Linked DNA regions of Bombyx mori. The protein of the gene in region 1 purifies or fractionates together with the protein of each later gene. This does not show direct contact. Links are inferred from orthologs where the notes say so. Each region holds a gene or a part of one and is shown in the gene's direction. Other genes may lie near its edges.

Evidence for each region. The genes of interacting proteins can lie anywhere in the genome.
Region 2: the proteins of unconventional myosin-Va (region 1) and nonmuscle myosin essential light chain purify together in Drosophila melanogaster (affinity purification with mass spectrometry; 3 studies listed by BioGRID, with this or other methods). This does not show direct contact. The link is inferred for Bombyx mori from reciprocal best matches to the Drosophila melanogaster genes didum and Mlc-c.

What each region holds. Positions count from the first base shown.
Region 1 is NC_085108.1:6,143,410-6,147,993, forward strand, and holds part of unconventional myosin-Va, read left to right. Parts: intron 1-781; coding exon 782-918; intron 919-1,021; coding exon 1,022-1,220; intron 1,221-2,387; coding exon 2,388-2,620; intron 2,621-4,196; coding exon 4,197-4,375; intron 4,376-4,584.
Region 2 is NC_085118.1:17,553,454-17,558,690, forward strand, and holds nonmuscle myosin essential light chain, read left to right. Parts: upstream 1-1,940; 5' UTR 1,941-2,154; coding exon 2,155-2,157; intron 2,158-2,229; exon of another isoform or gene 2,230-2,230; coding exon 2,231-2,258; exon of another isoform or gene 2,259-2,525; coding exon of another isoform or gene 2,526-2,574; intron 2,575-2,663; coding exon 2,664-2,845; intron 2,846-4,455; coding exon 4,456-4,602; intron 4,603-4,692; coding exon 4,693-4,776; 3' UTR 4,777-5,203; downstream 5,204-5,237.

The sequences.
Region 1 (4,584 bases):
TGGTCCTCCCAGCACTGGTCCACCCACCACTAGTCCACCCACCACTAGTCCACTCACCACTAATCCAGACACCAATAGTATAGGTACCACTAGTCTAGCCATCCCTAGCTTGGAGAGCGATCGCAATCGTGACCAACTGAGAAGATCCGGTAGTAGATTCAGCGAAGCACCGCTCTTGCTAGGGCTGGTACTAGCAAATTCTCTCAGGTTGATCCAGTTGAGATCGTCTACAAGCCAGAGCGTAGCTGGAATGTCCGCTTAGGCTACCAGCGAATAGATAGGGAAAAAACGCAGGATCTTTTTTTTTTTTTTTTTTATTGCCTTTGTAGGCAGACGGGCATACGGCCCACCTGATGGTGAGTGGTTACCGTCGCCCATGGACTTCAGCAATGCCAGGGGCAGAGCCAAGCCGCTGCCTACCGCTTAATACTCTCCACAAGCCTCGTTTGAAGAAGGACATGTCATAGCGCTCGGGAAACACCTGATCTGACAACAGTTCAGTCTTTTTTTTTTTTTTTTTTTATTGCTTAGATGTGTGGACGAGCTCAAAGTGTCGAGTCAAGTCTGCACGTGGCACCTATTCTGATACTCTTCCGCCCCGTTTAGGCGGTTTGATCACTCACTCTCTAAGCTAGAATTCATTGAATCTACTACCGGATCGCAATCGTGACCAACTGAGAAGATCCAGCGAGAAACTCAGTGGGCTGTGTCCAAGGGAATCCCACATCACGTCAGTCCCGTGCTCTGAACCGTATTCGGTATTTTTTTTCTCCGTCTCCAGGCGTCCTCGACATCTACGGCTTCGAGACCTTCGAAATCAACTCGTTCGAACAGTTCTGCATCAACTACGCGAACGAGAAGCTCCAGCAGCAGTTCAACTCGCACGTGTTCAAACTCGAGCAGGACGAATATATAAAGGTAAGTTGTCGTGGATCCAAGTTCTACAGGACTAGGTCGGGTCGGTGCTGGTCGCAGCGCGTGTCTGCCCATCTAAAGAAGTTAAAAGTCTCGAATCTTTTAGGAAGAGATCTCGTGGGAGATGATTGACTTCTACGACAACCAGCCGTGCATAGACCTGATCGAGGACCGTCTGGGTGTCCTGGCGCTGCTCGACGAGGAGTGCCGCGTGCCGCAGGGCTCCGACACCGGCTTCGTGGCCAAGCTGCACCAGAAGTGCGCCGCCTACCCGCACTTCATGAAGCCGAGGTTCGGGAACCAGGGTGGGTCCGAGTTTGTAGCTGGCATGTTTTTTTATTTTATTTTTATGGCTTAGATGGGTGGACGAGCTCACAGCCCACCTGGTGTTAAGTGGTTACTGGAGCCCATAGACATCTACAACGTAAATGCGCCACCCACCTTGAGATATAAGTTCTAAGATCTCAAGTATAGTTACAACGGCAGCCCCTGCCCTTCAAACCGAAACGCATTACTGCTTCACGACAGAAATAGGTAGGGCGGTGGTGGTACCTACCCGCGCGGACTCACAAAAGGTCCTCTACCACCAGTAATTATGCAAATTATAAATTTGCGGGTTTGATTTTTATTACACACGATGTTATTCCTTCACCGTGGAAGTCAATCGTGAGCATTTGTTAAGTACGTATGTATATATTTTATTAGAAAAATTTGTGCCCGCCTGTGGGATTCGAACACCGGTGCATCGCTAGATACGAATGCACCGGACGTCTTATCCTTTGGGCCACGACGACTTCTATACGACGACGACGAGGTTGATGCTTTGTATTGTTAGAAATTAATCATTTTAGTATACAATCCGTTCCAGAAGTCAAACATCTGAAATGCGTACTACAATGTAAACACGCAATGTAAGGCGTACAAATAATTAACGATGCTCAAAGTCTAAGAGCGATGCGATTGCTCTTTCTAAGCTGTAGACTTGTATTGATTGGGTCCGCGATTTGTAGTGTCAAATGTATAGCAGAGTCCATAGACATCATGATATTAGGGCATTCTCTTTTTGATAGACAACCTTATTTATTTTGAACTAGCGACCTGCCCTCGCTTCGCTTTGGAAACATTAAATTTTATTATTGATAGCCGAGTCCCGCGATGTTATGTCCCGTTGTACCGCGGGTGACGCCGCGGGGCGAAGCTAGTCTAAAAAAAGTAAAGCCTAAGTTACTCCTTATATCATCGGCTACCTGTCAGTGAAAGTCCCGTCAAAATCGGTCCAGCCGTTCCAGAGATTACCTGATTAAAAATTAAAAAAAATGCTATCTTGGTGTATGTACCGTATATATATTCATATCAATATCAATATTACTAACAGACAATCCAATTTTATTTATATGTATAGATTAGTCGGTAGGCGCTCCTATAGACTAAAAACCCTCAATCATGAGAAATGAACAGGATTCTTCCGACAGCCTTCATAATAAAGCATTTCGCTGACAACGTGGAGTACCAGTCCGGCGGTTTCCTTGAGAAGAATCGTGACACAGTGTCGGAGGAACAGCTGGAGTGCATCAGGACAGCCACCAGCTGCCGCCTCATACACGTCATGCTGGAGTCGGAGCGCGCGGTAGACCGTCAGACCGCGACCCTGCCGCCGCCCTCCCGGAGGAGGACCACGCCCTCCGTGCCGATAACGAGTCTAACTGTACGTGCTATTTTATTGATACGCTTTTATTAGCTTCAGACGTATGTATGTTAGTGTGTAGCGCAATCTTTGAACATGATTTTGAGCCCCTTCAAAACGTCGGATTAACTCGAAAATCCAACGTATAGAAAATCCAACTCAAAAATAGAAAATAAATTTGAATTAAAAATAGTGTAAGGAAAAATGATTTTATTGTAAAAAAAAGCGTGGAGTGCATGGTATCATCAGTAGTTATAAATATTTTATGAACAAATATGAGTAGAAGGGTTATTTTGATAATATCCTGAAAAGCACCCAGTTTTTTTAAACTATTATTTATTTTTATTGCTTAAATAGGTATACGGGGTCATGGTCCCGCCGTGGCTAAATGGTTACTGGAGTCCATGGACATCAACAATACAATGTCCATGGACATCACCTTGAGAAATAAGTCCAAGTTTGATAGTACATAGATGCCCCGCCCCACCCATGTAACCGGATTACATGACCTCGCGGCAGTTTTTTTTTTTATTCGTTAAAAAAAAGCGTGGTGGTACCTAACCTGGTGGTTTGTGGATTTTTGTAATGTAATAGATTTTTTTACACAGATTTTTTGCATAAGACCCCTTCAGCTCTACAACTCTCAACACTAGGAGCAGGCTTAGGGACCCCGATAACCGTACTCGTCGATCTCTACAAAGAGTTCGATGTGCAACTTAACCCATGCATCAGTCCGCTGAGTTTCTCGCCGGATCTTCTCAGTGGGTCGCGTTTCCGATCTGGTAGTAGATTCATTCGCGGAGCAATTGCTCTTGAGTTGTTAGATCTCCTTCGGAGGCGCTCGAGCAGCTGTTAGCAAATCCCACCCCTTCTGGCTAAGTCCCTTGCTCGCCCACCTGTCCTGGTGAAACTGGAAAGGCGGTCTTAATTAGTGGTTTCTGAAAATTTACAAAATCCTTCATTAAAAATAAAACATAGGATAGGTAATATGTTATTGCCGTCTACAGGAGCAATGAGAAACTAATCGAAGCGAAGCTATCTAGTGGCCGACGCCCGTAATCATTTTTCTTGAGTGCTTGATTTGCTTATTTATAACTAATTTATGTATATTGTCTATGCTCCGGGCCACCAGTAAACCTTCAGGACTTTTTGGCGGGAACGCGAGGTGTGAAGTTGTGTGATTTGTTTTATTTTGTCTATTTGGTGTTTGTTCAGATTTAAATGTGTAATAACGGTGGTTTATTAACTGTTTAGTATCTGTGAAAGTGCGCGAATGTGGGAAAATGAAACAAAGCCGCTTGGACGTAACTTCTCGGGAACCTCCAAAAAGTCCACTGAAAAAATCTCAGTAAATGACCACCATTTTACTGAGATTATATTTCATCCAATATCATCTCATCTCATTTTATTTTATTTTCTTTTCATTTCATGTCATGTTTCATATTAACCAACTTCATTTCATTTCATAATATTATTTTTCATATAAAAAAAATCATTAAAATTAAAGACTTGACTTAAAGGTCATAGTTACCAGGTCATAAGATCCCTTAAAAAAAACAATAATCCAACAATAATTAAAAAAAAAATGTCGGTCCAGCAACCAGGGCGGCGCGCGTCCGGCGCGCGGCAGACGGTGGGCGGGCAGTTCCGCGCGTCGCTGTCGGCGCTGATGCTGACGCTGTCCCGCACCACGCCCCACTACGTGCGCTGCATCAAGCCCAACGACTCCAAGACGCCCTTCCTGTTCGACTCCGCGCGGGCCGTCAACCAGCTCAGGTCAGTGACGCAGCAGTGACAGGCTGGTGGTAGGACGTCGTGTGAGTCCGCGCGGGTAGGCACCACCGCCCTGCCTGTTTCTGCCGTGAAGCAGTAATGCGTTTCGGTCTGAAGGGTAGGGCAGCCGTTGTAACTATACTATGAGATCTTAGAACTTATATCTCAAGGTGGGTGGCGCATTTACGTTGTAGCTGTCTAAAAAAACACAC
Region 2 (5,237 bases), on another chromosome or scaffold:
TATGACATGTCCTTCTTCAAACGAGGCTTGTGGAGAGTATTAAGCAGTAGGCAGCGGCTTGGCTCTGCCCCTGGCATTGCTGAAGCCCATGGGCGACGGTAACCACTCACCATCAGGTGGGCCGTATACTCGTCTGCCTACAAAGGCAATAAAAATAAAATAAAAAACTTGTTCCTTACACCGGTCACTCACTTGCGCACGAATACGCAAACCCACAAGTGTAGGACGACATTTGCGAATGATTATGCAAAGTTTCCGCTGCATTCGTGGTTTTCCAAGCTGTGTCGGTTTTTTAACAGACATCAAAGCGCGCGAACCTCGAACCTTCGCGTAGTCTCCCACACATTCGCTTGCCCAGTTGCCCCGACAATTGCGAAGGTAACGGACGTATACTATACGCCATTTTCATAGTTCGTGACGTCTACTGTGTAACGTATCTTCATCAAAAGAAATCCCATAAAAACAGCATGGCTGTTAATGATGTCTGGGAAAGAATTAAAAACTCTTTTTCTCTTCAATGTTCTATTGACGAATTAAAAAGGAGGAGAAATTCGTGAGACTTCGTAAACAAGTGTAGGAGGAAGCGCAAACGGGTTCCCAAATTGAGTATGCGAACCCATTTGCACAGCCGCTAGGTTTTCGAATGAATGTTTGACGGCCCTTCACATGCGCGCAAACATTCGTACAATGTACGAATATTTGCGCGCATGTCAGTGGCCGGCATTAGACAAGAGTGCGCTCCTTAGTTCTATCCTTCATAACACCAAATTGACGAACTTAGGTTCTCTAGTGATGCGATTTCTAACGAAAACCATTTCCGTTATTAATAATATACATAGAGAGTGTAATTTATTGAAGTGAAACTTCCTTATCGGCGTTGGAAAAAAATTTACCGTCACGTTTTTCGGTTACGCGTCACATTTTTCCGTTACGCGCCATCTGTTTTGTATTCATGTCTATGATAATAAAATCCTTTTGTTTAAACTTTATCTAATTTAACTTTTTTGTATTCATGTCTATGATAATAAAATCCTTTTGTTTAAACTTTATCTAATTTAACTTTATTTAACCAATTTCTAGAAAGTTGCATGTAGATCATTTTTCGAAAAATAAGGCCATAAATAAGTTTCACTTCTTACGTGTGTACACTAGTACACGCACACATTTTTTTTATAACAGAGGAATAAAATTTTGATAGTCCTTATAAATATATATTAGGATACCTAGCGTTACTGTACCTCATTGCCTTTTGTTCATAAAATGTTGGTCTGAGATAATATTTTTAAAAGCTACTACTATGTACTAAGCTAAAAAAAGACTTTCTTGTCTAGTTTTGTGTCTAAGGACTATGTGTGACCATCGATTTTCACAGGCTAATTTGAAAAGATCTTCAAAAATCCAACAAAAATGACAAAGTGTGTTGGGATAAAAATAGGAACGTAGAAGACGAAAAGTATCGCTAGATTTGAATCGATTTTTTTTGTAAACGTTCTTTTCATATTAACATTTTTGGTGAATACTATATCAATATATCCGTGTAGCGTGAAAGAAAAAAATAGCATTCAAAAACAATACTAAAGAAATACCAATTACATAACAGACTTTTTTATTATTTCAAACTAATAATCATTTGAACTTAAGAATAACGATAATTTATTTATTGTTTCAAAATAAAATACCTTTAGTTTTCGTTTATTATTCTAACAAAATTGCATTTCACGATCAAGGACGATTGACTTCCGTCACGAAAACTGTAAAGTCTTCTATCCTAATATAATAACATAAAAAAACGCGAGAACGCCGTAGGAGTAATTTTAAAGTCTACGCCTCGAGAAATCTGATATGAAGGAATCTATAATAAAATATTTGTATTACCGTATATACCTTCTCGGTACTTGAATTTTAACCGATAAATCGAAACATGACATTTAGCTTAAAAATATCGATTTATCGTATTTTTTTTCGACGTTCCTAGTGTTGCGTTGCGCATGTGTTTATATCTGTGGTCCATCATCGTTGACATAGATAATGCACTTAAACTAGATAATCGTCGACATCATCAAAAAAAAGCCTATATTTTGTTGCTCTTCGATAAGTCGCAGCCTTTAAATATACCTATTTCATTACCTTCAATTTCATTTGTAGATTCATAATATGGTAAGTAGGTAAATGTCACGATTGTTCCATTCCTTTGAATGTTTTTCAATAACCACTGAAAATATGTTTTCAGGCTGGATATTCAGAGGATCAATTGGCAGGTGGGTCACTATTTGCACTCCGCAATTAGTTTAAATGAATAGTGAAAAACGAGAAACAGAGGTGGTGAACCGTGCTTTGTGTAAGTGTCAGTGTAGAACAGCAACCGCGGAGGGCGTGGTTCCGTGACTCACGTCAATCAACATCCTTACAAAAACCGGCGGTCGCTGCAAGCGCCCTACTTACCTTATAAGGTTTTGTGTTTAACAGCTAGCAGGTGTTCACTGAGGTAACCTTCGCTACGGCAGTATAGTTTCGCGCGTCGCAACATGTTCATGTACGAGGCACCTTCTAAACTTAAACTCACATCAGTTGATGGTATAAATATATATAAACATCTGTAACGCAGTCCCTTAGCCCTTGTTAGTATTACTTTCAAATAAAGTTTTTTTATTGTTTGGTTTTAGAATTTCAAGAAGCCTTCCAGCTCTTCGATTCTCGTGGAGATGGAAAGATACATGTCGCTCAGATCGGAGATGCGTTAAGAGCTTTAGGACAAAATCCTACAGAGTCAGATGTGAAAAAATGTACTCTTCATCTTAAACCTGATGAAAGGATATCTTTTGAGGTGTTTCTGCCAATTTACCAGGTACATATATGAAAAAAGCTAAGTATTTACCTAATATAAGGCTTTTAACTGTATTCAAAATGTTGTTAGTTTTGATACTTTAAAACATATATAGTATATTTCACAAAGAATCTGAAAAGTAATGGCAAATTCGTTTTTTCCAACCATAAGTTGTTTTTGTAACCATATTGTTTGTTCACCTAATATAATTCTAAAGTTTGTTCTCTTCTCTTTTTGTTGGTTCTGCATTGTAGGAAAATGAGTTTTAGGAGTCCTCTGGTAAAACATACTTCTATGACCCTTGAAAATATGTTATGTACTAATGATTCACATTTGACATTTCTCATTATTTCTATACTTTTCAGTCAAACAAATATCATAAAATTATTTAATTTTATAACAGCACCATTGACACAATGTGTAAAGATACAGAAAATTAATTATGAACTATACAAATCATAATAAATTTCATAGTACAGAAGTAGTATACAAATGTCACCTTACGAGTACTGTGTTATAGGGATTACTGTAAGTTCATAGACTAGTTGTTTGTAACATTTGTCTTCATAAGTTCATATTATACTAAAATGCTATATCACAGAAAACTTAAGAATAAATATTTTTCGTAAAGACAATTACAGTGCTATAATGCTATGCTAAATTAGATAATTATCTAACAACAACAATTGTTGGCCATCTGCACCTGCCCTAATGAACATGTTCCTCATTATACTCACATTGAATGATGCCAATGATTATGCCAGATCCCCACTCCTCAGAGCATTTTCAAGACAAAATAAATAACAATGTGCATTATTTATTTACTTACATAATTACTGCTTCACACTACCACCCAGACAATTTTTAAGCAATGTTGTTCTCTATTAAACTACTACTGAGACTCAGTTGCTTCTCTAAAGACAGTAAACCTTTAAAATGCTTAATTGGGAGTAGTGTTTTATAAAAAAATGTAATGATATAGATATTGTTAATGTATTTAAATATATGTATGTACATTCTGTACCATGTTGTGCTACAGTAAAATGTTTTTATTTTTTTATTTGCTTAGATGGGTGGACGAGCTCACAGCCCACCTGGTGTTAAGTTGTTACTGGAGTCCATAGACATCCACAACGTAAATGGGCCATCCACCTTGAGATATAAGTTCTAAGGTCTCAGTATAGTTACAACGGCTGCCCCACCCTTCAAACCGAAACGCATTACTCCATCACGGCAGAAATAGGCAGGGCGGTGGTACCCACCCGTGCGGACTCACAAGAGGTCCTACTACCAGTAATTACGCAAATTATAATTTTGCGGGTTTCATTTTTAATTACACGATGTTATTCCTTCACTGTGGAAGTCAATCGTGAACATTTGTTGAGTACATATTTCATTAGAAAAATTGGACCCGCCTGAGATTCGAACATCGGTGCATCGCTCAACACGAATGCATCGGACGTCCTATCCGTTAGGCCACGACGACTTCTAAAATAGTAATAAAATTGCTAGTAATAAAATTACTAAATTTCAATCCAGTCCAGTTTTTGAAATATTTTATAAGAAATTACACAATGTACCAAGATTATTTTGAACTGTAAATAATTTCCTTTCTGTTTCTGTGATTGTAGGCCATATCGAAAGCACGCAGTGGCGACACTGCTAATGACTTTATTGAGGGTCTGCGCCATTTTGACAAAGATGGCAATGGGTTCATCTCTTCTGCGGAACTGCGACACCTGCTCTCTACTCTCGGAGAGAAGCTCAGTGATGATGAGGTTATTTCTTACATACTTGAATCATTGAACAATCTACTGATTTGTATAAATATAATATGATCTAAAAGGCTTACATATTTATTTTTGCAGGTAGAGCAACTCCTGCAGGGACAAGAAGACTCTCAGGGAAATATCAACTATGAGAACTTTGTTCACCTCATCATGCAGGGCTGAGTTCTAGGTCATCATCTGCTGCAGCACTTTTATCTGTAAACTAACCAAGTCTGTAACCATACAGTTAGAGCCATAATGGGACACTGTTAACAAAAATTTATTAAAATATACTTAAACATTCTTATTTGGCTACATAAATGTAAACTTATAGTGAACAAATATAAGTAAGTGATAGTAGAATATTAAGAATATCTCAGAAAATTGTAGGCGCTGTGTGAACCACAACTAAACTTGTATGCATTTATCAATTAGGTGTAGGTTATGTGAATCATTCTTGAATGTTATTCCATTAGTTTAGTGCTGCAATGGCAGTGTGAATCCCAAAATAAGCCTTTTTATTGTTTAAGATTTTATGATAAAATTATAATCTATTTATAATTGTATAAAGACAAAAAGCAAAACGTAATAATTAAATATACTACACAGCATTATTACTTTTAATGAGGATCTCAATTTGGAGA